Linked DNA regions of Oryzias latipes. The protein of the gene in region 5 binds, or shares a complex with, the protein of the main gene of each other region. Links are inferred from orthologs where the notes say so. Each region holds a gene or a part of one and is shown on either strand. Other genes may lie near its edges. The genes, in order: cetn3, nup98, nup107, nup62, nup93, RANBP2-like and GRIP domain-containing protein 8 and nup214.

Evidence for each region.
Region 1: nup93 (region 5) and cetn3 share a complex: the UniProt entries of both Homo sapiens proteins name them as parts of the nuclear pore complex. The link is inferred for Oryzias latipes from reciprocal best matches to the Homo sapiens genes NUP93 and CETN3.
Region 2: nup93 (region 5) and nup98 share a complex: the UniProt entries of both Homo sapiens proteins name them as parts of the nuclear pore complex. The link is inferred for Oryzias latipes from reciprocal best matches to the Homo sapiens genes NUP93 and NUP98.
Region 3: nup93 (region 5) and nup107 share a complex: the UniProt entries of both Homo sapiens proteins name them as parts of the nuclear pore complex. The link is inferred for Oryzias latipes from reciprocal best matches to the Homo sapiens genes NUP93 and NUP107.
Region 4: nup93 (region 5) and nup62 share a complex: the UniProt entries of both Homo sapiens proteins name them as parts of the p62 complex. The link is inferred for Oryzias latipes from reciprocal best matches to the Homo sapiens genes NUP93 and NUP62.
Region 6: nup93 (region 5) and RANBP2-like and GRIP domain-containing protein 8 share a complex: the UniProt entries of both Homo sapiens proteins name them as parts of the nuclear pore complex. The link is inferred for Oryzias latipes from reciprocal best matches to the Homo sapiens genes NUP93 and RANBP2.
Region 7: nup93 (region 5) and nup214 share a complex: the UniProt entries of both Homo sapiens proteins name them as parts of the nuclear pore complex. The link is inferred for Oryzias latipes from reciprocal best matches to the Homo sapiens genes NUP93 and NUP214.

Annotation. Positions count from the first base shown.
Region 1 is NC_019870.2:1,965,938-1,970,119, forward strand, and holds the start of cetn3 (centrin-3), read left to right. Parts: upstream 1-1,382; 5' UTR 1,383-1,531; coding exon 1,532-1,548; intron 1,549-2,248; coding exon 2,249-2,381; intron 2,382-2,452; coding exon 2,453-2,567; intron 2,568-2,637; coding exon 2,638-2,829; intron 2,830-3,947; coding exon 3,948-3,991; 3' UTR 3,992-4,182. UniProt on the Homo sapiens protein: Plays a fundamental role in microtubule-organizing center structure and function. As a component of the TREX-2 complex, involved in the export of mRNAs to the cytoplasm through the nuclear pores.
Region 2 is NC_019872.2:23,868,842-23,872,124, reverse strand, and holds part of nup98 (nuclear pore complex protein Nup98-Nup96), read left to right. Parts: intron 1-648; coding exon 649-902; intron 903-977; coding exon 978-1,253; intron 1,254-2,165; coding exon 2,166-2,323; intron 2,324-2,393; coding exon 2,394-2,534; intron 2,535-2,602; coding exon 2,603-2,754; intron 2,755-2,815; coding exon 2,816-3,037; intron 3,038-3,130; coding exon 3,131-3,283. UniProt on the Homo sapiens protein: Plays a role in the nuclear pore complex (NPC) assembly and/or maintenance. NUP98 and NUP96 are involved in the bidirectional transport across the NPC. May anchor NUP153 and TPR to the NPC.
Region 3 is NC_019881.2:22,230,650-22,234,896, reverse strand, and holds the start of nup107 (nuclear pore complex protein Nup107), read left to right. Parts: upstream 1-1,447; 5' UTR 1,448-1,542; coding exon 1,543-1,550; intron 1,551-3,237; coding exon 3,238-3,317; intron 3,318-3,416; coding exon 3,417-3,512; intron 3,513-3,581; coding exon 3,582-3,676; intron 3,677-3,754; coding exon 3,755-3,890; intron 3,891-4,150; coding exon 4,151-4,247. UniProt on the Homo sapiens protein: Plays a role in the nuclear pore complex (NPC) assembly and/or maintenance. Required for the assembly of peripheral proteins into the NPC. May anchor NUP62 to the NPC. Involved in nephrogenesis.
Region 4 is NC_019879.2:22,073,856-22,077,709, forward strand, and holds nup62 (nuclear pore glycoprotein p62), read right to left. Parts: upstream 2,727-3,854; 5' UTR 2,411-2,726; coding exon 908-2,410; intron 814-907; coding exon 655-813; 3' UTR 501-654; downstream 1-500. Other genes in the region: pdk1 (pyruvate dehydrogenase (acetyl-transferring) kinase isozyme 1, mitochondrial), read left to right, coding at 3,620-3,728. UniProt on the Homo sapiens protein: Essential component of the nuclear pore complex. The N-terminal is probably involved in nucleocytoplasmic transport.
Region 5 is NC_019864.2:28,049,515-28,053,014, forward strand, and holds part of nup93 (nuclear pore complex protein Nup93), read left to right. Parts: coding exon 1-69; intron 70-1,435; coding exon 1,436-1,480; intron 1,481-3,087; coding exon 3,088-3,204; intron 3,205-3,276; coding exon 3,277-3,395; intron 3,396-3,473; coding exon 3,474-3,500. UniProt on the Homo sapiens protein: Plays a role in the nuclear pore complex (NPC) assembly and/or maintenance. May anchor nucleoporins, but not NUP153 and TPR, to the NPC. During renal development, regulates podocyte migration and proliferation through SMAD4 signaling.
Region 6 is NC_019879.2:17,115,947-17,119,446, forward strand, and holds part of RANBP2-like and GRIP domain-containing protein 8, read right to left. Parts: coding exon 3,456-3,500; intron 3,353-3,455; coding exon 3,215-3,352; intron 2,926-3,214; coding exon 2,794-2,925; intron 2,680-2,793; coding exon 2,458-2,679; intron 2,375-2,457; coding exon 2,291-2,374; intron 2,209-2,290; coding exon 2,070-2,208; intron 9-2,069; coding exon 1-8. UniProt on the Homo sapiens protein: E3 SUMO-protein ligase which facilitates SUMO1 and SUMO2 conjugation by UBE2I. Involved in transport factor (Ran-GTP, karyopherin)-mediated protein import via the F-G repeat-containing domain which acts as a docking site for substrates.
Region 7 is NC_019870.2:10,687,387-10,690,886, reverse strand, and holds part of nup214 (nuclear pore complex protein Nup214), read left to right. Parts: intron 1-42; coding exon 43-357; intron 358-490; coding exon 491-658; intron 659-961; coding exon 962-1,073; intron 1,074-1,767; coding exon 1,768-1,831; intron 1,832-2,388; coding exon 2,389-2,455; intron 2,456-2,626; coding exon 2,627-2,711; intron 2,712-3,500. UniProt on the Homo sapiens protein: Part of the nuclear pore complex. Has a critical role in nucleocytoplasmic transport.

The DNA.
Region 1 (4,182 bases), on a different chromosome or scaffold from region 5:
TTCTCAGACTGAGTTGGGGGTGGGGTGGGGGGTAAAAACAGGAGGGCTGGCTGGAAATCAAACACAGATCCTCCTTCAGCTGAACAGAAAGGAGAATGTTCTGCCTCCAGAATCCTCCTCCAGTCAATCATCGCAGTGAAACTTCAGAGGCTCCAGTAGGAAATTCATCAGGAGGAGTTTTTTTTATGCTGTTATTTTCATTCCGTCACAAACTACTGCCTGTTGTTGTTGTTACCACCTGTTTTTTTGTATTTTTTTCTGACTTAGACTCTGCTGAGCTTGAATCTCTCCTGAGGCGACATGGTTTTTCACTCAGGCGTTATCTAGGATGACACATGTGACACAGGAAACGCCCCGACGTGAGCCGAGACCGGGCGGCACCTTCATCCCGGAGCACCATGGGAAATCCCTGATAAAACTGAGACAAAGCCCAAATCAGGGGTGGGGGCACAAAGACCCTCGGGAAATGCTCCAAGCATTTCCAGAGGGTAGAAACCTCCGGCAGGATTCCAGAGAGAAGGACGACTGTTCAACAAGCCAGGACCATTATGGGTTACATGCCTTTAATGTTGACAGACAGACATCAGACATAACAGGACCGTTGACCAATGTTTATGAGGAAAACTTGTCATCAGTTCAGAGTAACAAGTTACAACAAATAAAGGGTGTGCTGAACTGTTGGAGGACAAAGTCTAATATTTAGGTGTTTTTAACATGTTCTTGATGATGGAGGACCATGTATGAAGAAAATTAAGCGCAAATTTTCATTTGTTGTGAATCAGGAGCAGACTAAAAAAATGCAGTTTAAAAAAGAAAAAAATGTGCTGGGCGGTGCCACAAGCTCCGTGCTGCGCTCCATTCCGATGCATTCACTGTCAGACAAATAGATCCATAAACATCTCTGTTTTCCTGGTCTGAGCTGGAGTCTGAACTGGACGAATGGACGGATCTGATGAGGCTGCCATTTTTGTTGCACCAGTAATGTTGGGGGGGTTGGGGGGGGGGCTGTTAGATAGCAGGAAAGAGTGTAAACAAAGGAATCATGGGAAATTAGACAGGCTTACTGTGTGCCAATGGCCACAACTCAGAGGAGAACCTCTGATGAACTCCTGTGGATCTGCAGAAACTGTCCTGTAAAACTGTCCACAGGAAGGGAAATAGATCAAAAGATGGCCGGAATGTGTCTTAAAGTTATCTGGATTATTCTTTTGTGAATCACAAACTGATTTTCTATTTAAAGTTTTTCTACATTTTATTTGACTTTGAAAAGGATTCCAGCGTCAGTATTAGCAGATGTAGCAATGACAGACGACAGCAGGGGGCGCTGGTGTCCCGCTTGGGTTCAGTTTGCTCCCGAAGAAAAAAAAACAGAGCGCCACTAAGCGAGCGCCTTGCTGTTGCCTAGAGACCACCGACCAATGAGGACCTCGGATCTGAGCGCGGACACGCGGGGTTTGTTTTTGCTCGTTGAGCGACAGTAGCCGTTCCTTGGAAGTGAAATCTTCGCGTTTGGATCTGCAATTCGATCGCAATGAGTCTGTCTCTGAGGTGAGGATCGCAGCTTTTACGGTGACGTCATTTCCGGTTCTCTCGCCTTGTTAGCCGACGTTAGCATGTCGCCCGTTTGCCTCAAACATTCAGAGCTTGTTGACCGGAGACTCGGTCAAAGGGCTGCGTCGGTCCAAACGGTCCAAATGTGTGTCTGTCAAAGGGTTCGGTTCGGTGGAGCTGTCTCTGAATCAATCTGAGCTTGGCTGAAGACGTTGCACCGAAATTCTGTGACCTCTCAGGTTCTGTCCTCGGTAGATAATATTTCACCTGATTTGGACTTTCCGGGACCAAAAGCTCGTTTCGGGGAATGAGTTCTTTTATTTTGAAATAACGTTTGTTTTTCCACCATATTTGGTCAAAGGTTCTCCAAATAAACCTGTTGTGACGTCAATGTGACAGAAAAATATCAGAAATAGGATTCTGTGGTTTGTGGTCAAATACTACGATAAGACTAAATGGGTCTGGGTTCTTATTGGCTCAAATCTGATCGGAGATCTCTGAGTTGGTTGAAGCAGGTTTCTCTCTCGGCTCAGAGTTTGCCGTCAGTCTTCTCCTGCCTTCATGTCTGTTCCTGACTGATGAAGATGTTCAAACTCTTGTTTTTTTGTCTTCGTCCATCCTTCACGGTTGAACGGCGAGGTTCAAGCTCTGGTTTGTGGTCACAGGGAGAATCTGTGACTCTGGTTTTGCTCCGCAGAACCGACCAGGCCGACAAAAACAAGCCTAATAAGAGGAGGGAGCTCACCGAGGAGCAGAAGCACGAGGTCAAGGAGGCCTTCGACCTGTTTGACACGGACAAGGACCGACAGATCGATTATCACGAGCTGAAGGTGAGCGGCGGCGGATCGGATGGAAACCGTGGAAACGAGACCAAAGGTGTCATCTGTCACGGTCCCACCAGGTGGCGATGCGCGCCCTGGGCTTTGAAGTGAAGAAGATGGACGTCCTGAAGATCCTGAAGGACTACGACAGAGACGGGAACAGGAAGATCACCTTTGAGGACTTCAGTGAAGTAGGTGAGTCACTGGCCTCCTCTTCCTCAGAGCCAGGCGACGAGGAGCCGCCCTGAAACGCGTCTGCCCGCAGTGACGGACCGCATCCTGGAGCGGGACCCGAAGGAGGAGGTCCTGAAGGCCTTCAAGCTGTTCGACGACGACGAGTCCGGGAGGATCAGCCTGAGGAACCTGAGGAGGGTCGCCCGAGAGCTCGGCGAGGACATCAACGACGAAGAGCTGCGCAGCATGATCGACGAGTTCGACACCGACAGAGACGGAGAGAGTAAGTCTGCATTCGCTCAGGTTAAAGCCACGCCCCCTTCACCGGATGACACGTGTTCTGTCGTTGCCGCGGAGATGAGGGTCAACAGCCTGTACTTATGTAGCTCTTATGCAGGTCTAACGCGTTTTAAGGTCACTCTGAAGGCGGCAGAGCTGCCATGACAACAGAGGGGCAAGGTGGGGGTTCAGTCTCTCGCTCAAGGTCACTTCAACGCATAAACCTGCGACCTCCTGATCGTAGGTGGACCGCTCTTCTCCCGGTGCGGCTCCTGCTTTAGAAATCCCATCGCTCTCTGACCTCCATGGCAGGAAGGTTCTGGCGTTCCCGCTCCGAGGTCGCCGGTGATTGGGCGGAGAGCGCGGCTCCTCCCCTCACGGTTTCCTCAGCTGACCTGTTCCAGAGTTTTAGCGACCCGAAGGCCCGTACACACCGGGACGAATATTCGCCAGGCGTTATTCGCCAGCGTTTTTCTCCACGTTTTTTGTGTTCACACCCAGGCGATTTTCGCTGACGATGAGCCGAGCGAACATGCAATTTCATTCCCTGACATTAGATGGCGCTTAATGTAAACAGAAATACTCCTGTACACAAGGTGGCGCTGCGCAACTTTACGCTTCTTAAAGTCGCTTTTCACTCAGAAGAAGAGAGCAAGTATTTACACGCTTGTCAGAATCAAACAAAGAAAACATTAATATTTCAAGCATCAGTAGCTCCAACTGGTGCTTGGTTCGGGGATATTTTAGAATGTCCGTCATTATTGCTTCGCGGCTGTGTAGACGCTACTTGGCGTCTATCTTCTTCGCTGGTATGTGTGCTCAGCAAGGCAGTTTTGTGTTTGAGCGCCCCCAAGTTGTGTTTTACTGTAACTTCAGAAGCTCCAGACACGTGAGCAAAAGCGCCATTCTCATTGGTCGAATAGATTTCGATGCGACGCGTCGAAAAAAAAAAAACGAACCCGAGGCGTTTTTTTTTTTTGACGCTTTAACGCATGGCGTTTTTTCGCGTCGGTGTGCACACTCTCGTTGGTGCCCTTTGTTTAGTCACGAGGCGTTTCGCCGACGAAATTCGTCCCGGTGTGAACAGGCCTTGAGAGTCTGAGCAGACCGGTGTTTCCTCAGTAAACCAGGAGGAGTTCCTCGCCATCATGACCGCAGACTCCTGAGGAGGAGCCCGGAACGCCTTCTGAGCTGGACCCAGACGTTTCTCCACAGAGCCAGTGGACGCCCCCTCAGAGCCCGTGAGTCTGAATCCCGCTGGACATGAGAAGACTTTCCAACAGTAAAAACTGGACTGACTTTCTGTAAAGATCAAGATTTAAGTCGATCTTGACTTTTGAACTGTTTGTGTGAGTGT
Region 2 (3,283 bases), on a different chromosome or scaffold from region 5:
GGAAACTGTCGAAATGACAAGCAAAAATGCAGAAACTCCTTTATGCAGAATAGATTTAGCTATTTTTCTCGTTTGAACTGAGAAGTCTTCAGCTGTGTTCACCTCGCCCTCAGCATTGCGTGATCAAGCCTCCACCTCCAAAGAAAAGTCTATGTAAGCGCACGTAAATGCGCGTTTCAGCGTTCCAATCTCTTGTGTTCATGCTTAAGACCGTTTTCAGCCTTTACATACAAAACCATCGAACAAACGTTAAAAATATAACCATATATGACCAACCAGGGTTTCAAATTTGGTTGATGTCCTTTTTAATTCACAGAAGAGGAGAAATTAATAATTGTGGTTTGTGGTTGCTCCGAATTCTGATGCCAAGTCTTTCAGATATGTAAGAAAGAAAAAGCCTGGAGCAAGACTGACCAGATTTGCCCACTTTTTGCAACAAGCCTCTTCCAACTGTAGGTGGCAACATGGGCTAGTAATGGGCTACATTTGGGTCACACGCCACGTAGCTTTAACCTGAAAATAACAGCAGGAGAAAACACCAAACTGTGGAAACATTAAATAGTCTTTTCTGGAGGGCGCCGGTTCCCACAGAGCGCTGAAGAGAGCAAAGACATCTTTGTGACTCCAAATCCTGATGTTTGGTTTCAGTTTGACAGAAAGTCCGTACAAGGTGGTTCTTGAGCAGCTGGTGGGTCTAGATCCTCTTCAGGGTAAGACCAGTGAGGACGACGAGGACCAGACCGTGCTGCAACGCCCCCTGGAAATCAGCCTGAAGTACAGCACTGTCAGTGTTCCAGACGGGTCCGACTGTCCTCTAGTGAAGCCACGGCCCGGTGTGGACGCGCTGCACGCTTACGCCGAGTGGATCACAGAGCTGGTGGAGAAAGAAGGCGGCGCAGAGCGTGAGTGACAATGTCACAGCTGTAGAAAGGCTCCGCCTCCTACAATGCTCCATCTGACCCTCTGTCCCCCTGCAGCCCTCCTGGGTCACTGGGCTGAGGTCTGGACTCTGTGTGAGGCCCTGTGGGGCCGCCTGGGCCCTGCAGACGTGGAAGCTGATGCTGAGATGCCCAGCCAGTATGAGCAGCAACTTGCCAGGAGGAGGAGCTTCTCCGCCTGGCTGTCGTCCGGCGCCACCCACAGGGTGGAGGAGGAGGTGTCTGTGGCAGGAAAGGGTTGCCACGCAGACGCCATCTTCAGTTACCTGACAGGAAACCGAATCAGCGAGGCATGTCGACTCGCCCAGAAAGAAGGTGAGTTCAGCAGAACCTGCAGAGCCAGAACCACAGACGAACCGCCGCCAGAAAGAGCACTAAGGAATAGACATCGTCCGATGTGGTTTTTGAGGGTCAATGCTGATTATTATTAGTAGTAGAGCACAGTTTTGTTCGCTTCTTTCTCAGTACGGGGAGGGCAGTCTTTCATTTTTCAACTTATGATTGACAGTGGTAAAAGACATTATGGTCAAAGGCACAGGCCTGGTCCTCATCACTACAGGAGAGTTTTCTGGGTTTCTTTAGACGACCTATGAACCATCTGCACAGCTTCTCCACACCAGAAAACCTTTCCCCTCCGCTGTGTTTGAGGGATCCTTCAAACTAGAAATGCAATGATTACCTTTCCCAACTATAGGGGAAACCTCTATTTTGGTTTTGTGTGGTTTCAATGCAGTTTATCCAAAGCAACAAAAAAAAACTAAAAATAAAGCTTTATTATGCAAGGGAAAAAAAGAAGAAAAACCTCTGTGGTAAAACTAAGCCTGGGGGAATGTAATGGGACGAAAAATAAATCCTTATGTTTAGCAAAACTGTTATACGTAAAAATACTCCCTCCACCACCATTCAGGGCAGGGGTGTAATGTGTTTTGGTTTTAGATCCTGAGCCAAAATAATTGGTTCAAAATCAGCTCGTCTGATTTATAAAAATAAAATAAAAGAAATCCTGATGCCGTCATATGTCAAAATAACAAATATCGGCCTGTCCGATGATTGGTTGAGTCCTAAGGAGGTCTGGATGGTTTTGACTTGGTCAAGTCCAGCTTTGCTTGAACCTGTTGTCGTTATGGTTTTAGACCATAATGAGGAGGCTTCACGCTCCAGACTAACCGTAACCCTTCATAGCTGGACCAGCAGGAGAACACGGGGCTTACGCCTGTTTGTTTGCAGGAGACCACCGTCTGTCCCTGCTGCTTTCTCAGGCCGCCGGCTCTCAGATGTGCCGCGACCTGCTGGGACTGCAGCTCGCCGACTGGAGCCGCACTCATACGGACTGCTACCTGACGGAGGAACGGCTTCGCATCTACGCTCTGCTCGCCGGAAAACCGGTACGCGCTCCGCCTTTGGAAAACCCTGCAGCCCAGACTCTGGTCTTCTGAGCGCAGATTCTCCCTGCAGGTGTGGCAGTCCTCGGACTCTGTGGTGAACGTGTGCTCACAGCTCGACTGGAAGCGCTGCGTGGCTCTCCACCTCTGGTACATGCTGCCCCCCACGGCGTCCGTGGCCGACGCCCTCGCCAAGTACGAAGCTGCCTTCCAGGTGAGTTGCTGCTGACCTGCAACGTTTCCGTTCCTCCCGCAGGTCAACTCACTCTGCTGTTCCTGCAGGGTTCAGCCGAGGGGGGGAAGTACTCCTGCGCCCCCCTCCCCCCCTACTTGGAGGCAAAACATTTTGATGAGGAGGAGGAGGAGGAGGAGGAAGAGTCTAATCGTCCATTGTACGATCTGTGCTTCCACCTGCTGAAGCTCTACAGCGACAGGTAAGCCTCACCTGACTGGAGTCTGAGTCCCATTCACCCTCTAACCCCCCCACCCCCACAGACACTACGGCCTGCAGCAGCTGCTGGAGCCTCTGACCGTTACCTGGCAGCGCCTGGATTTCCGGCTCAGCTGGCACCTGTGGGGCGTCCTGCAGGCGCTGAACTTCAGTCACCTGAGCGCCGCGCGGCAGGGACTCCTCCACGCCAGCTACGCCGCACAGCTGGAGAGCGCCGGCCTCTGGCACATGGCCGTCTACATCCTGCTGCACATCCCCGACCACGCGTAGGTGTCCGACCGCACGTGCACGCAAACTGGAAACGCAGCCGCTGCAGTGGCTTTTGTAGGAAGCTCTGACTAAACGCTCTGCGTCCTCAGTGAGCGCGAGCGCGCCGTCAGGCACGTGCTGAGCCAGCACTGCCCCCTGGAGGAGTCGGACCAGTCCCTGCAGAGGGAACGCTTCCTGACCGAGCAGCTGCTGGTCCCAGAGCCGTGGATCCACCTGGCAAAGGCCACCCGAGCCCATCGGCA
Region 3 (4,247 bases), on a different chromosome or scaffold from region 5:
TTACAATTCTATAGGAGCTTGACTTGCTGAATGTAAATATTATTTAATTTAAACAAAATTAGGCGAATTTCTGTTGTTAGAAAAACGTTTCTTCTTCTGACCTGCTTTAAGAAAGAAAAGTCCGGTTCAAATGGGATGTTCTAGCTTCTTTTTAAACCAGAACCTGCGTCATTGATCAAACAAATGCAGAAGAACGCGGTTCTTTTATTCTGAAATCCCGCACCAGAGTCTGATCTGCGGGGTCCAGGTTCAAATCTGCGACCATCTGATGAATGACCTCTCTGTGCGGCCGTCGCCTCCAATCCTGCCACGCAGTGGGAAAAGTTTACCTGGGGTCTCCATCTTCCCCCGGGTCAAACAGACCCTCTGGCAGCGCTGGGGATCCGCCGGCGGGGGTCGATCCGGCCTCTTAGGTGACCAGGACCCGCTGCTGACCGTGAGAATCTCCTTTTCCGGTTCTCTGAACGGCGGAGATCTCCTTTTAACCGGACCACGAAGCGTCCGGTGTTCCTGCTTTAGCTGAGCTGCGTGAATCGATCACGCAACAGCGGCAGCTAACGGAGCGGAGGGCAGAGCACAAAGATGGTCTATTAGGAAAGACGTCTCACTCCGACCACAGCCGGGAATTGACAAGGGAAAAAACTCCTAATACATCCTTTTAAAAGCGTTTATCCGACACAATTCAACTTCTATGTAGGGAACATAAAGTGTATCTTAATGTATAAAAATATTTTTCAACATGTTTTTTTAAACGGAATTTTCAAATAATACACAATCTTTGAAATCAGACGTATTGAAACATTTTCCTTCCTGACATTACAATGTTCACTCTTGTTAAAAAAGACCCTTTTTTCTAAAAACTTCCTGTTTATTTAATATCAAAATTAGGCACAACTTTAAAGTCATTTAAAAAAAATGCAGGACAACTATTTGATTTGATTTAGATCAAATGCATCATATCATATGGTTAATGTGTTCTTTGTCATTCTGTTCTCTGGATGGAAGTTCAAATAACATCAGCTATTAAAATACAAGTTTAAACAGTTTGGAGTGTTTAAGAAAACCTTTTGTAACATAAAATCTGTACAACACACAAGGAACTCTGTCTTTCAGCAGCTGAACAGGCCAAAGAAATGAATGACTGAATAATCACTTAAAATGTAAATATGACACAATTACACAAATGTGAACTTTTTTAATCAAATAGTGGATCTGAATATCTATTTAACTAAATGAATAAATCTAAAAAACACAAAAAGGCAAATTGATACACAAAATTACAAATAATAGGATTACTGAAAGAAAAGTGAAAATTAAAAGATATGTATATGCTTAATTAATATTTAAATTAATATTTATATTGTCTTTTTTATTTCGTCCTCTCAAAAATAGATGTAATCTAATGGTGAACTCTAGGGGGCAGCAGTCAGCTGACAGGCCTGACAGATTTACCTTAAATTCAAAGGCAGATTCGTGAGAAGAGGCGAAGAAGTAAAAGACCAGAGAAGAAGAAAACATATCGGAGCGGGAATCGGCTCCAGCATGGACTGGTAAAACATTTTAAATTTTTGTGTCATTAATGTGACCAGCTGTGAAACACTGATACGTTCACATTTGTACGGTTCGATCGGTCAGTTTTTGCGTTTTTGTTGTCTCCGGGAAACGTTACAAGAGTCAGATTAGCAAACGATGCTAGCATCAAGCTAATCAGTCAGCTGAATGTCATGACGTCTGTTTAGTCAAAAATAATGAATGATAGGTTTAAAGACCCACTTAGGTTAAATTCTGATCTATTTTCAAAGCGTTCCCAGTGTTTTTATTTTTTTGATTGTGCTGTTTTTTTAGCCAAAAGACAAACACTTGTCGTTCTTGGACACAGTTATACTAGTAGTAGTATGTTCTTCTGCAGAGCGGCAGGAGTTAATTAAACTCCCTCAACTCAGGTGTACTAATGATTAGTACACCTGAGTTACACCTAACCCCACCCCCTTCCCGTCACCCATATTTGAGATCTCTCAGTTGTACAGTTTTGATCCAGATTCCAGCTCAGACGTGGAAAACAAAAACGTTCATGGATCAATTTTTGTCGGCAAATGGATTAAATTCAATTCAATTCAATTTTAAGGGGAAAACTCCCATAAAAACGGATTCCGGAAAAACGAAGAAACCTCAGGGGTGTCCACATGAAGGAGGGATCCTCCCCCAGGACGGACAGGCGATTTACCAGAACTCTTAGAGAAGAATTTACTTATCTAAATCTACAACTACACATTTAAAGTCCAGCAGACGAGCTTCATCCAGCCGTGGTTGGGGGGACAGTCAAAGGCGCGAGTCGAGTCAGAGGCAGGATCCACAGCCAGGTGTAGGAGCAGGAGCAAAGGCGAGGTAGACGGTCAGCAATTGGAGCACGGATGATCCAACTGGAGTCTGGAAGCACTCCCACTCCCCAGGAGGGGAGAGGAAAAGAGTGACAATACATGAATCACACTGCACCAAACAGAGGCATGGAGAACTAAATGATGAATAATGATCAAGAATAGAGGAGAGGAAGGGTAGAAGTAGAAGAGAAAAGAGGACAGAACCCCAGTGCACCATAGTTACCCCAGCTTCAACTTCTAGCAGCCTTTTAAAAGAAAGTTATTAAGTTTAATTTAAACAAATTAACATTAAGTTAAATAATCTCTGAATACTAACTAGTCTGACAATAAGCCTGTCCAAAGAGGAATGTTTTAAGTCTAACTTTGACTGTAGAAACTGAGTCGGCCTCTCTTCCATGAGCTGGGAGTTTATTCCATAAGACAGGGGCTTGGTGGCTAAACGCTCTACCTCCAACCGTACTTTTACTAATTCTAGGAACCACAAGCAGTCCTGCGTTTTGCGAACGAAGTGTTCTGATTGGGTGGTAAGGAACTATGAGATCTTTGATTTAGGACGGGGCCATTCCATGTAAGGCCTTATAGGTTAACAGGAGGATCTTGAACTTGATTCTATAATCAACTGGGAGCCAATGGAGCGAAACCAACACAGGAGTGATGTGATCTCTTGCATTCTCTTGCATTGGATGCATCAGAATGGAACTTGTGGCCCCAAACGGCATATTTGCTACATGATATTTATTATCTTTTTCATTTGGCGCTTTTTCGTCTGTTCCTGATTCACATTGAAATGAAACTAGGAGAAAATTGGCTTTTCAAGTAAGATAATGTATGTTTCTGTTTTGATCTCTCTGACCTCCAGGGGTCAGAATGAGCTTCCGTCTCCGGTGGTTCGAGAGGAGGAGGTGACGGTCGCAGCCAGGAGGAGGAAGAAAGTGGCTTGTATCCTCCAGCTTCAGTAGCTGTGTGTGTTTCTGTGCGTCTGTGTGTACAGTTATATGTCGGGACAGTTTCTTTGTTTCTCCTGACTCTTGGCCTCAGTCCCGTCACCCAGTGGTGGCAGCCCCATCGCTTCTGCTGCAACACCAGCCCGCCCCCACCTGATCAACACTCCTGCCTCGTTGTTCAGGCAGGCCGGTGAGATGCTCACATTCATGTCAGATCTGAGGCTTTGAGCTATTCCTACCTCATGTCTCTGCCTCTCAGTCACCCCCAGGGTTCCAGCCACTTCTTCTCTTTTGGTTCCTGGAGGTCGAACGCCTCGATTCATGCACACGCCCAGAAACGCGCTCAGCAGTCTGGTGAGACCCTGATTAATGTGCAGGGACAGCCGGGATCAGCTGCAGTCTGTAACTCAAACCCGTCCATTGCGTATCTAGAATTTGGACGACAGCGATTGGACCAACAGCTTTTACACCTCGCCCGTGTCTGGACTGGAGAACACCAGCTTCTTCAAAGACGATGCTGCCAACCTGAGCTCAGCCCTGCTCAAGGAGGACGATCCAGGAGATGCAGGTGAGGAAAACAAACCACTTTCATGCCTTCACATCACACGCCAATCGGGTGTCAAATTCGCTGCTCGAAGCTTGTCCTAAAATGTGTTTTTAAACCTGATGTGAAATTATGATGTGATGACAGTAAAAGACTGAATAATTGATGAGAAACGAAAAAGCCTCATTGTTGTTTGAGCAGCATCTCCAGGTACATTTCCCTCTAAAGAAGAAAGCGTATCATTTTTTAATAACCAACCTCTCCTGACTTTGCTTTCTCTGCAGCAGCTGCAAGTCTTTTCCCAGAATTCCTTGCCTCCTTTCTGAAGCACTCTTCCTCTGCGGTGTTTGACCTGTTGGAGGATTATCAGAGCCTCTGCCA
Region 4 (3,854 bases), on a different chromosome or scaffold from region 5:
TTTGTCATATATAAAACAATTTAAAGAATTATTTCTAATGAATCTTCCTTTTCTATATAAAAAAAAAAACATCTTCAGCTTCTCCGTAAATTAAGTTTAAAACATTGTTTTGACAAAACTCAAACAAATGCTGAAGTCAATTCCCCTTCAAACGAGTGTCATAGCAAAAACATCCTAATTGAAAATCCACCTTGCAAGTATTAACCCTTGTGCTATCCTAGGCACTTTAACATTGGGAGTGGGGTCATCTAGACCCACTAGACAGTGCGCTGAACCTTTTTTCTTCAATGATTTGTGATCTTCACTGGTGTCCATGGATTACATGAAATCTTTCCACCTTTGTCATGGTAGGGAGAACACGTCAATGTAAGGGTGGGGTCATCTAAGATAGCACAAGGGGTAACATCAGTCTTAGAACAAGAAACAAATCTTGTCATTAGATGTTTTTCAATCCTAAATATAGATAAAAAACAGGTAAAATTAGGATGTGAAAACACAAAAAAGTTCAAAATTTGTTTTTAATCATTCTATTCAGGTAGATACAATTATAAAGATGATTGCATTTAAAATAGTTTTGCAACACACAATAGAAGTATAATAAAGGAGAAAATCCAAAGCAAAATGGGAAAAATAAGCACTGAGCCAAAAAACAAATCAGTCAAAGGTTAGACGAAAGGTCTTCTCCTGCTCTTTGCGCTGGGTGTCGCACTGTTTGGACACTTCCTCCACTCTTCTGTGCAGCAGGACAGAGTTCTGGTCGATCCACTGCAGCGAATCCATGTGAGCATTCAGGATCTTGCAAATCTGCTGAAGCTAAAGGATTCAAAAAGAAAGGAAGGCGATTAAAACAGCAGAAGACTTGATTTTATGAGAAATATGATTTAAAAAAAAAAGGCTCAGATCTTACTGGATCACTGGTGTCTGCCGGCCCGCTGGATGTGTTCAGGTGCTCAATGATCTCCTTCAGGTCCTGTGACATCCTCTTCAGCTGGGCGTCCACGTTCTCAGCGAGCTTGTATGTTCTTTCGCGTTCCTCGTCTGCGTTCTGCATGTAGATGGTTCCGCTCTGCTCCTTCACAGTCTCTTCCAGAGGGCAAAGCAAGTCCTCCAGCTCCTTCTGCTGGGACAGAATGAAATCGAGCTCCTGGTTGAGCCTTCTCTGGTCCAGCTTCACCTTCTCCATCTCCTTATGCAGAGACGTGATCTTTTCCCCGTTCTCCACCAGCATTCTGTCCCAAGCGTTGACCTGAGTTGCCTGCTGTAAGAAATGCCTCTCTTGGTCCTGAAGTTCAAGACTCCACTTGTTTATGAGACCCTCCAGCTGGGCGTAGGTCATCACCGGAGGGGCCGTGGTGGTGGTTGTAACGGCTGTTGCTGTGGAGGCTGTTGTGGAGCTTGAGATGGTCGGAGGTTTGAATCCCAGCGTGAAGCCTGCGGTGGCATTAGCTGTGACAGCTGCAGTTGTTGTGGTGGTGGTGGAGCCGGTGTTTGCTGCTGTGCTGGCAACGGACCCCAGAGGCTTGAGCATGAAGGATGGAGCTGTACCTGCAGCTGTGGATGCTGCCATGCTGGTTGACAACGCTGGAGCTGCACCCAAAGTAAAACCTGAAGTTGGCGCTGCTGCAGAGGTTGTGATGATAGGTGACGCAAACAGAGACAGGCCTAGGGTGGGGGCTGACTGGGTGGGGGCTGACTGGGTGGATGCGGGAGGAGCTGGTGTTGATGAGGGTTTAATTCCGAAGTTAAACCCTCCACCCTGGGTTGGAGCTGCTGGAGCTGCAGCTGCTGGGGCTGGCTGGGTGAGGGTGGAGGGGGCAGGGGTCCCGAAGCTGAAGCCTCCTCCCCCCGCTGCGATGGTTGTGCTTGCAGCTGAGGTCACCTGGACTTTCGGCGCTCCGAAGCTGAACCCTCCGAAAGCCATGCCACCTGATGCGGTGGTTGTTGTAGGTGCAACTGTCGCTGCGGGTGGGGCCTGGGAGGTAGCCCCAAAGTTGAAGCCCCCTCCCGCTGGAGCGGCGCTGTTCGTCTGCGAAGACAACATCCCGCCCAGGGTGAAGCCGGACCCCGCAGCTGGAGCGGCCGAGGAGCCTAAGGTCAACCCAGTGGCGGCGGTGGTTTGGGTAGTCGTGGCCAGGCCGAACGTGCCGGTGGCGGCGGCGGCGTTGGGTGTGCCAAAGGAGAAGCCGGTGCCGCCGGCGGAAGAGTTCTTAGCCGGTGCGCCAAAACTGAAGCCACCGGTCGGGTTGGCGTTGGTCTGACTCTGAGTCGGAGTGCCAAAAGAGAAGCCCGTTCCCGAAGCCGCAGCCGTGGAGTTCGTTAAACTGAAGCCCGGGGCCGGAGCGGCCGCTGTGGTCTTCTGCGCTCCGAAGGCAAAACCCGAAGGTTGCCCGAAGTTGAATCCGCCACTCATGTTCTTCCTCTGATAAAAACAAAATGACTTTACAGCTTACGAACAAAATGGTATCTTTCACCACAGTTTTTGGCGGGTCGCTAGCACGAGCTGCCGGTTCAACTAGCTTCACCGAAGAAAAACCGTCTAATGAGAGGACTTCTTACGTTAGCCACGGATATTTTAAATCATAGTCTAATAACTAATTCTTTCACTGTGCCGGTAAATATAATAATACTAGCGAAGCATCTTTAAAAAAAACGTGGGTAACTGACCAAACGTTTCTTTGAGCATACTTTCTGTTGTAGCTAAAGGAAGTGACGCCACTTTCAACATGCAATTTTGCCCTCAATTCTGTCTGTCAGAGAAAAAGCCCCACCCTCTAGTTTAGATTGACATCCTTAACACCAAATTACTGTGCCGAAATGAAAAATGCTGACATTTGATTGGTTTTTATTTTTTAACCTTACAGACAAGCACTGGGGATCAGAGCGACGGCATTTCAACCAGTCAAAGAGTTAATAGAGGACAAGAGATGCACAGAACGCACTTTTTAGTGTCGTAGATATGAACTACATGTTAATAATTCCTCTTGCATTTTGCTAAATAATTAAAATTATATAAATTCGTTTTGTTGTTAAACGCTTTAAAGTAAAACAACATATATTTTATTTGTCACGCAAATATGTATTACTTTCTACATTAGTGGTGTTTTTAGCGGTCTAATCTAACCCATCTGATATGCGGGTTAGGAACCAAAAGTGATCAATTTGTAGGTGGCGAACATCCCAAAAGTTGTATTCCAACCACCATAAAATAAAAGCAGAAGAATAATCTATTTAAATTGCATAAAAGTTGTCATCTTTATTTTATAAAGACTACTGCAAAATAGTTGCGTTGTTCTCTCGGCGTCGAATCAACTCTTTGAACTTGCTAGCTCAGCTGCGGAGTGGGTGCGTTTGCCGTGTTGACTTTTGACTGAATTTTACAGAGGACGTCCGAAGTGAGGGATGATGCTTTAGTCCGTCTGTGACCATGCCTGCAGCAGGAATTCAGTCCAAGTGGAAACACGGTCGATAATCGCAAACGTGCGGGCGAACTGCTGAGTTTAGCCAACAAGCTAGTGTGTCAACAAGCGTCACATATTTATTGTTGTGGCCGCGTGCGCCATAAGAATTCGGACGTGTCGTGTGTGTTTGAAATCTGATCAAGTCGAGGCCGGAGAGCAACATGAGGCTTTTAAGGTTCCTGAGGAAGAGCGTGGCGGTCGGGAAGGACATTGACTATTACTCAAAGTTTTCTCCTTCGCCTTTATCCATGAAGCAGTTTCTGGATTTTGGTAAAATGAATTTTAGATGCTTTAAATATAGTTGTAATTTACTCCCCCTCTCTCTATGTGTGTGTATTCTAGCTTATGGTTGGAATTTTAAAGGATACTTTAAAGTATTTTTGAAAGTCCTCCATG
Region 5 (3,500 bases):
GAAAAGGACAGCCAGGGAGAAAACATGTTCATGCGGTGCGTCAGTGAACTTGTTATCGAGAGTCGAGAGGTGAGTGGACCACGGTTTCCTACCAAGGCTTGGAGAAATATGTCTGCGCCAATAAATCAGTGCTGTTTGACCCAGTCAGTAGAGCTGGATTTGATATCAAACTCCCTCCGCTGATGGAAAAAAGAGACGGTTTTAGTGTCGCCCATTGGCTATATATGAGAACTGGACAGAGTGAGTGTGATTTCACATATAGAAAATGGTTTAGGCTACGTTCACACACACGTCACACACATGTCGCGCGTTCTTGTACGTGCGTTTAGCCCATGGCGTTTACACTTAATGAGTAGGGAGGGGCAACCTGTTCTTTATCGTTTTTTTTTTTACTGTTTGGAAGAGATTTGATGCAAAATGTGGAAGCGGTGCAAATGCCGCGAGGCCTTTTTCTTTCTCAGCTCCCTTCTGATATGTGAAAGACTTTCTCCAGCCGGAAAAAACATACAAAACACAATTATTAATTTCTCCTTCATGATCAATTTTCAAATGTGAATTTAAAGGGACGCCATCCATACGTCAATACCAAACCCAAGTCTCTGATTGGTCAGTTTGGCGCATATATGAGCATTTACATTGACTTTTCATTCAAGTTGGTTGCTTTAACGCGTGTTGCCAACGTAGCTTCACTTCCCGCCACAACCAAATGAAGTTAATTCATTTGACTTTTTCTTTTGGCGATGTGGACATTGCTGCCATGTTGGAGCCCGACAACCTCAGTAAGCATTTGGTCTGAGTCATTGTCTCCATGGCAACCACTCTGCCTCTCAGCTTTGAGCGCGTTTGAAGTCCACACCGCTACCTCTTGAAAGCAGGCTAAACGAAATCTGTCAGACGTTTCAAACGCTGGCCTTGGGGCCCAGCAGGCTCCACCCATTTCTGTCGATCTGATTGGTCAGTTTATAACTTAAATAACTTGAAGTACAGAAAAAATAAAGGCAGATTAGCAAGAAAATGTAAAAAAAAAAGGAATGGATTTTCTGACCAATAGAATGACTGAGGAACAGCTGTTGATTGATGGGATTTTGGCTTCTTGGAGCCACTTCCTGTTTGGAACGCCATGGGGGAGGAGTCACTCAGTCCAGCTGTCATATAAAGTCAGTGGTGTTGCTGCACCAGAAGAGACATTTTAACTTCAAATTGGATCAACATCCTGATTTGGGCATTGTACCTTAAAATGAAGAATTTTTGTGTTACTAGTCACAACCTATTTGGTGTGCAGACTTTTGAACTATCTTAGTGAAGCGTTTTTGAATTTTCTGTCAGAAAATTTGACTTGTGAAACACGAAAAGTGCGACTGAGATGTTGCTGCTTAATCTCACAGCACAGATGAACCGTTGTGACTGATTTTTTTTTTTTTACTTTTCCTCTCAGTTTGACATGCTGCTGGGGAGATTAGAGAAGGACGGCAGTAGGAAGGTAAGAAGATTGAGTCAATCTCCCCTCCTCATTTATTTAATCTAGCTCTTTCTATTTGCCCCACACCTTCTCTCCATCTCTTTTCCTTCATCCGCTTCCAGATTTTTCTTTCTTTCCTCTCCTCTTTGTTCCCGCCCGGCACGATGTTCAGTCAGAAGTCGTCTCCTACACATTCAGCGCCTCACATCCAGAGAAAGCTGGTCACCTTTCAAGGATCAGAAGCCTCAAAATCTGCATTTAAACCTACATTTTTTCTCTTTACATTTCTCACGGCGCCTGCAGCACTCTCTCTGCGTGACGTCTGAAGCTGCTTTTGTTTCCGCACATTTTTCACGGCTGTGTTTTATCCCACACTCTATTCTGGGTACTAAACACATCCAGAGTGCGGCTCTGAACGCGTCTCACGCGCGGTTTGATTGAAGGCTTTGTTGGATTAACCGTCGAGCTCCTGGCAAGTTTGAAAATGTGTGCCGGCGTGTTTTGATGTCCATTCAGGAGAAGATTACGTTTAATTTCCTTCCTATAGATGCTCCACATACAGAACATACGAGGCGGACAAAAAAATGGAGATGGCTGCGTTCTGCAGGAGGCATCAGCGTGAACTCCATGACTCTTTCAACACACGTCTTTTTACCCATGTTGATTAATTACTGATAAGAAATTCTAATTAACTCCATGTATGATGTCACCTTCTTCTTCTTCTTCTTCTTCTTCCCTCTTTCCCACGAATCTCACAAAAGCAAACATTGTGCCTGACCAAGCATTAAAACTCATGTACTACCTGTTTTTATTTTAATTTATTAGATTTTTATGATTTGATCACACAAAATGTTCTTTTTTATATCAATACTATTATATTTTATTGAATAATAAAAAGCATTCACATCATAGATAATTTAAATCAGAAAAATAATATGCTTAGTTTGAGTTTATTTGTTTATTTATGAACAACGGATTTAAAAAAAGTTTAGAATAAATTATATTTGAAGAAAAATATCAATTTATAATTTCAAAAAGGATCAATTAAGATCTATCATTTTACAATTATTTTAATTCCAGCCTTATTTAATATGATCAGCATCTACGGTGTATTATGTTGGGAAAACTGACAGAAGCCAGAATTACTACATAAAATTAAGTAAAATAATAAAACATTTTTTGTGTGTCTGGTTTAATTTTCTTTAAATTTAAATCTTTATGTAGAAACGAATTAAGAATCTGAGGGGTCATAGAAGAAATGAGAAAAAAATTAATTCAAATTAAATGCAATTCAGCAATTTTTCCATTAAGTTAGAAAATGATAGTCATATTCAGTCACATAAATGTCTTCATGTGGTTAAAAACTATTATGTAACAACATTTTAGTGAGATCAAATCAAATGAAACTTTATTTATAAAGACATTTTCATACACATGCAACAAAACCACAAACGGATGTAAAAACAAACAAGGATTTATGGATCAACTGACTGTTTTGAGAATTCACAGAGTTAACAGGTGGAGAAGGAAGCGGAGCCGTCTGAGCTAACAGGACAAAACTGGATTTTGATTCACACTCCAAACCTCCGGCTCAGCTTCTCCTCTCACTCCTCTGATCCCCTCTCCAGCCCGGCGTGATCGACAAGTTTGCCGGAGACACCAGAGCGATCATCAGTAAAGTGGCCTTAGAGGCTGAGAACAAAGGCCTGTTCGAGGAGGCGGTCAAACTCTACGAGCTGGCCAAGGTGAGCAGAACTGCTGGTCTTTGCTGCTCTCCGCCGAGCCGGTGGTCCTGAGTTCCATTTGTGCCCCCGCAGAACCCAGACAAGGTGCTGGAGCTGATGAACAGGCTGCTGAGTCCGGTCATTGCCCAGGTTAGCGCGCCTCAGTCCAACAAGGAGAGGCTCAAGAACACCGCCGTGGCCATCGCAGAGAGGTGAGGGGACGCCGCAGGTGCGCGCCAACAGTGACGCTACGGATGCTAAAAATGACCCTCCCTGTGTTTCTGCTGCAGGTACCGCTGTCAGGGGATCGCAGGGGA
Region 6 (3,500 bases), on a different chromosome or scaffold from region 5:
GGTAGCCACTAAAGCAAATAGAAATCAAAGATTAATAGTATGTAAACAAAGGAATAGAATGTACAATAGTCTAGAGCCATGGTCCCCAACCTTTTTCAAGCTACGGACCGGTTTAATGTCAGACAATCACAGACTGGACTGCACAAGGCTAAAGAGGGTGTCCGATTCTTTTTCTTAGCTTCCAGTTTCCCTTAACTTTTGTTTTGAGTATAAAACAACTGTTTTGCAGCCTCGTCCAACTTTTAAGGCACAATTGCTACAGTGGGACAAAAAACGTATTTTGTCAGCCACCAACTGTCCAAGTTCTCCCACTTAAAAAGATGAGAGGCCTGTCATTTTAATCATAGGCATACCTCAATATACTTTTTTGCCCAACTGTAAATACACACACAAAAAAGACTGAAACTGGTATTTAGTTAGTTGCTGAATATTATGCATTATTATGTGTGAGAACCATCATAATGAATATTAATCAGTGATGAAAGTCAGGCAAGGAAAAAATCCCTGAACTTTTCTTTGAGCGATATGGCGGGCACAGAGCGAAATTTTGGAAAAATACGTGGTCTTAGATGCATTCTGGTGCATTCTGGCAACTAGTTATTCACTTCTTTATCAAGAAACTAAGACTAATTGGAGCATCATGATTTGTCATTCAAACCCCTAGTTTGACTCTCCATTAAGGACTTGCTGGTCCCAAAAAAGAATTTGGAAAATTGCTCAAAGTAACACAATCCTACAATCTATGCTTTTCCTTAAAGCTGCAAAACATACAATTGCTAAAATATAGTAACATCAAAGCCCCAAATGGCAAAAAGAACACCAGTAACTATTATATTCTATGAAAATACCTCAGTTATTTATACATTATTTCTGCTTTAGAAATGACTGATGTACAACATCCACTTGCACTGTTTTCTCAAACTATAACTACATCAAAATATGGGATCTGCTTTAAACTATAATTCTATAACATAATACATCAATTCTTTAACACCAATACTAAGTAATCTGGGAAATATCAAAACAAACATACAAACTAAGCTAAACATTGTAAACATCATTTTTTAAGGGAGTGCGGGTCCAAACCATCAAATACTTATAACTAATGTCAACTATACTGAACTAAATCATGGTAATTAGGAAATACAAATAAATTAGATAGAGAAATGTATTCAAAATAAAAACTGAAACTCAAAACTAAAATTGAAATTATTTCAAAATGTGGTTTTGAGATTATTTTACACAAAAAAGTATTTGACCTACACTACCTTAAAAATCTTTTTTTTCCAGCCAAGACCACTTCAATTTGTTTTTTATCGTCTTCTCACAACTGAGGTCGTGACCGCGCTCAATAATGACGATGCCTGCCATTATTTTAACACAAATTTGATCGCAAACTCTTCAGATGTGTTTGTGAAAATTTAGCGTGGGTCCGCCAGTTTTGGTCTCTAGGGAAGCGAGTCACGCTGACCACGTGGTGCAGACAGAGCCAATCAGACCCGTCGACGCATCCGAAAGCAACTAAAACGTCCCGTCATTGGTCAATTAGGCCGGGAAGACGAGAGATGGCCACGACCATAGAGGAAGCGATTTGCGGAGAAATATAGAAAATAAAGCTAAAATTAGCTGATTTCAGACCATTTTTTGATCCGGAAAGCGATTTGTCCGTAGAGATCAGGTCTTTATTTCCCGGAAAGTACGTTCGGTTTGCTCAAAAACCCGGATTTCCGGGAATTCCCGGAAGACTTTCATCACTGTTAATCCATATTTGGAGTAAAGACTCCTGGTTTTTGTCTGTTAACTGCAGTTTCTTTTTTCTATGAAGTCAAAGGCTCTTCTTCTATTTCCTCACATTTGATTTTTTTGCAAAATAAACTAAAATGAGTCAGATGTGGAGATAATCCAGTAGTTTTCCCAAAATAAAACTTCCTTCAGTATCAGATTAAAAAATAAAACAGAAAAAATGTTGGCGGTGCTTTTTTTCCCTCTGCACCCCGGTACTGTCCCACGGACCGGTACCAGTCGACGGCCCAGGGGTTGGGGAGCACTGTTCTAGATTGTATGCTGACCTGTTAGGGGGGCTCCGTGATAAGACTGGACTGGCGTAAATGGTTCCTGAAAACCCTCAGCCCTGTAGCTGTCTCCATACAACTTAGGAGGAGAACCTGCAGCCACTGATGCGTTGAGTTTTAGATCCTGAACCTCATTCTGCAAAACACAGATCCAATGAGTAAACTACCGAAAACACAGAAATTGTTTCTAAGAATGTCAATTAACTCCAAATTCTGACCTTCAGAGCTTCAACTTTCTGGCACAACATCTGCAGGAGATTTTTTTGGTCTTCGACCCAATGAGGTGGTGCCTTCGGAGAAATCTGAACAACAAGAGAAAACAAAGACTCACGATGCAGCTTTTATTATTATTTTCTCGTTAAAAACAAACAAGCAGTGCACTTACCAAACGTTTGGAAGGAGATACGATGCTCTTGTTAGGAGATGGAGTGGAGAACTTGATGTGAGAAATGGTGGCGCTGGTTTCCTGGAGATGAGCGGGACTGGAGTGATCTGGTCCTATTTGACGCTCAAACTCCTTCTCATCCTCCTCATCCTCCCCACTCTCCCCCAGCTGTTGGTTTACATCATTCAGGAGGTCGACAACTTCCTCCATGGATACAGGGAGCTGAATTCACAAAATACATGATTACAAACAAATACATTTGAAGAAGTCTAAACTGCGTATTTACCAAGAGCAATCTACCAATTATGAACTTTCTTCGTCATAAGTGAGACCGACCTTGTCGATGTCGTTTGCATTGGCATTGTAGATCCGTAGCAGATATGTTCTGTATTTTCTCAGAGAAGTTATACAGCGGTCTTGAGTCTCTTCCACACCATTGCTGGCCTCTTCTGACAGTCGCTGATGGATCTGCAGGAGAATCAATCAAAATTGTGTTTTAAAAGAATATTTTCACATTCAACAGTTATTCTTCAGATCAAACCACTGAGACCTTACAAGGAAGTCTAAAATAAAAGTAGTAAAACCTGGCTCATAACCACTTTAATAGTTGTGAAGTTCACACAAGATATGTACAAAAAAAAAGAAAAAAACTTTTTCAATGACAGAAGATCCTTCCTAATTTCTGCAGTTTTTCAAACATTGAGCCGCTGAGAGCATCACTGTATAGAGAGGCAGTTTGGTTTCAGTCTGGGTTTACCTGTGCTAAATGCCAGGCAGATGACAAGTTGTTGATTTTCTCCAAGATGGTGATTGCTTCATCTGTTCTTCCTTCTATGTCAAGCAGAACAGCGTGCGCTATCTGAGCTTCTTCCTCATAACTTCTCACTGAAGAAATCTGAAAACAGAACAAAACGTTGAGGGGAGAAAGATGGATTTGTAAGGCAGCATAACCCAATTCATTTGGGGGGGGGGGGGGGGGGTATTAAAAGGTTATGAACCTGAATATTTTTAGAAGAGAAGTGCATGAAGAGGGGCTCGAGGGG
Region 7 (3,500 bases), on a different chromosome or scaffold from region 5:
TTGTTCCGTAAATAAGTTTCTAAAGACTTAATTGTTTTCCAGCCAACTTGTCGCGCTCGGCCTTCCTGGCCCCTAAAAACCTTGAGGACTTGGATGATGTGAGCTCAACGTCCTCCTTATCGCAGTCTATAGAGCTTCTCCCATCTCACTTGGAGTTGGAGGAAGAGGAAGAACTACAGCCCCTGCAGCCTTCACCTATGAATTCCATGACCCAATCACTTCCCACCCCACGTCACCCCACTGTTGTTCGAACGCCCTCCATTCAGCCAGGCTTTGGAGCTATACAGTCCACCCCTCTAACAAAGATGCACCCTGTTCCTGGTATGGGCTTTGTGCTAAGCCCCATTATCAACCCTGGTAAGTAAATCAAACATGTTTGGCCTTTTTCCAACCTATCAAGCTTATAATATATTTGAAATGAAATTTCCTCATAGCACAGCCAAAAGAATACTTTAAAAAACACTGTTTCATTGAAAATGTTTTATTTTAGTTCCTACAAATAGGATTAACCTCAGCGGGGCTGAAAGTACTGCGCTTGCCACAAAGACGGTAAAGCATGGAGCACCACCTGCAGAGCGGAGCATCCCTGTGACCATCTCTGCCCAGCAGGCTGCTGCCACCGCGGCTCTGCGGAGACAAATGGCCAATCAGAAGACGGGTAGGAGGAACAATCAGCTCAAAAATTCACTTCTAAGTAGATTTTTCCCTTCAATAATGTGCACACAAGTCAAGTTTTTGTTGCTTTGCAACATCTAAACCACAAGGGGGAGACAAATCTCAACATATAAAAAAGAAAAATTCCCATCAATAAAACCTCAGGAAACACTAAATAATGGTCCTGAAGGAAAACTTACTGAACCTAAATTGGCCTTCTGATACTCAAGGCTACAACAATAAAAACTCACATTTTACTCCTAAATGCTTCTATTTTAATTTTTGTATTTTTCTTCTTTTTTTCCAGCTGTTGTCAACACTTCTTTGACAGAGTCCACCTTAAAAACTGTCCCTCAAGTAGTGAATGTTCAGGAGCTTAAGGACAAAGGGGCACCTATGCCAGTGTCCTCTATGGTCAGGTAAAAAAAAAATCAAACCCTGAACTGTTTTTAGAAGAGGGGAAAGTCACTAACTTCACTTTTTTTATTTGTGTCATGTGTCATGAAAAGTAGCCAATTGCAATTATGATTATCTATCAACACCAAGAATATTTTAAAAAAGATTTAAAAACATCCTGCTTTTTTAGTAAAAAAAATAAAACTGTCAAAAGATGGAGTGATTGCTATTGAATGCTGAGGGTTTCTGTCTGCTTAACTTACCTTAAAGAAAGCTTCTTTTTTTCAAGAGACAATAATACAATACAATACAATAATACACCACATAATACAAAAACAATAATAAAAAAAACCATCATATTATTTTATCAATTAAAAAAAACAATGTTTAATATTAGAAAAACTGTTATACCACTAAACATTAGATTGTCTCACACACCTGTTTTTTTTTGGGGGGGTATTTTGAAAACTGCATGTTTAGCTATTTATCTTTAATGCTAGATTTTTATAAACATGTTATTTTTTAAGATGGACACAAATACACTAAAATAATGCAATATCTATAAATAACATTAAGATGAAGAACAAGGCCATATTTTGATTAAAAAGTCTTGTGGCCAGCCAATTTTTTAAATTAAATAAACATGAACTTCATGTTCAGTCTCATATTTTCTTTGTGTTTAATAACTGTCCCACCCGTCTTGTTGATCTTCTGCAGCTCCTCGGCGCCAGATCCCTCAGTCCAGGGCTTCACAGCAGTTTCTAGCAGCCAAGTCAAACGAGTGAGTTGGATCTTTCTATCACTCTGCAGGCGGTTGCCAGTCAACTTTTTATTTACAAATCTTTTGTTTACAGTTGTGGTATTGTGACTGAAGTCACTCTTGTCTGTATGGATGATTTTTGGATGAATTTTCAGACATGCACTTTTTCATTGTAGTGTCGCACATTTTACTCAATTTCCTATTTAAAAATGGCGTCATGTTTTACATAGAAAAAGATTAGATAAGACATATTAAAATTATATATTTCCTCATAATTTTAAATAACATTCAACATGTGAAATTTCACGAACTGCTGACAGTTTGGCATCTGAAGACAGGCCTTCACTGCACAGGCGAGAAATACCTCATGTCCCTCCTGAATTTGTGCTACAATCTGCTGCAGTCTGACAGGAGAGCCACCTCATTCGAGTCCTGTTCCAGGACGAGTTCAAGTTCGTAAATGTGGACGCAAAAGGACACTGTGTGAATGTTTTGTTTTTTTCCTTTCCACCTGCTGAAAAGTGCTGACTTTGTGATTACGAGTTTGAATCTGCAGCGGTAAATGTGTGTCTTTGCAGAACACACCGGGTCTGCAAAAGATACCCACAGAGAATGCATCTATTCCACAGACAGGCTTTGTCTTTGGTAAGTGTTGTAAGATAAAATCTGTTTTGATGCAAGAGACCTAACATCTGCACCAATTTCTTTGTGGTTACACATAAACACATGACCCTAATTTTTAGTTAGGACTTTGTAAAAGCAAATCCGATTTTTAGCAGTTTTCTTACTCATGTTATGAATGTTTTTGTCCTCAAGGCCAACCATCCAAAACAGACCTTTCCGGGGGTCCACCTAGTTCACTTGAGCAAAACACCAGCAAGGCCTTCTCATTCACCTCAGGGTGAGTTAACACAAATGGCATTAAAAGAAAAAGGTGATGATTAGTCAGGGGAGAAAGTTTAGTGACTGAAGCTTTATGTGATTCATATCTCCATTAAAAATATTTGTAAAAATTATAGACAACTTTCTTCCAAAATCGTTGTCGTAGCTTGAGGATAAATAAACATGCTTAGCTCACATCAATAAAATCGTTTATTTATTTTGCTTGTTTTAAAACTTTTTTTGAAATAACTTTTTACCAGAGTTTGCACTTTGTAGACAGTCCCTTGGCAGCCGCCCCACTGCCGTCTCTATCAGCAGTATAGAGAGAGCTGTTCTCTTAAAAAAAAAAAATCTGATATTTTTTCTGTTGAAATGACTTTGTGGGTCATTGTTTGCATTAAGTTAAACCAATAAACCTGCGTTGGGCTCTTCCGGCGCGGCGGGGGGCTGCTTTCCTGGCTGGGCTGGGGCGGCGCTCTCTTTCCCTCCGCGCCTCCCTGCTCTCTGGCTCTGGGGGCCTTGCGGCGGTCCTGCTGGCCCTGGCCTGGGTGGCGGTCTTGGTCGCCCGGGGGGCGGTTGTTCCCTGCCTGTTCCCGTGTGGCGCTGGGGGAATTCCGGCTGCCGCTGCTGCTGCGGCGGGGGTATGGGTGTGGGGGTGGCTGGGCGCTCCTCCTCCTTCTTTTCACATTCCACCATCCATTTTAGAAGAACATAAACACTCACCTGAGCACAGGTGTTAGCTCACCTTTGCACTAATAGTTTGCATGATTGAATGAATGAAAGATTTCACACTAGTTGGTTTAAAGGC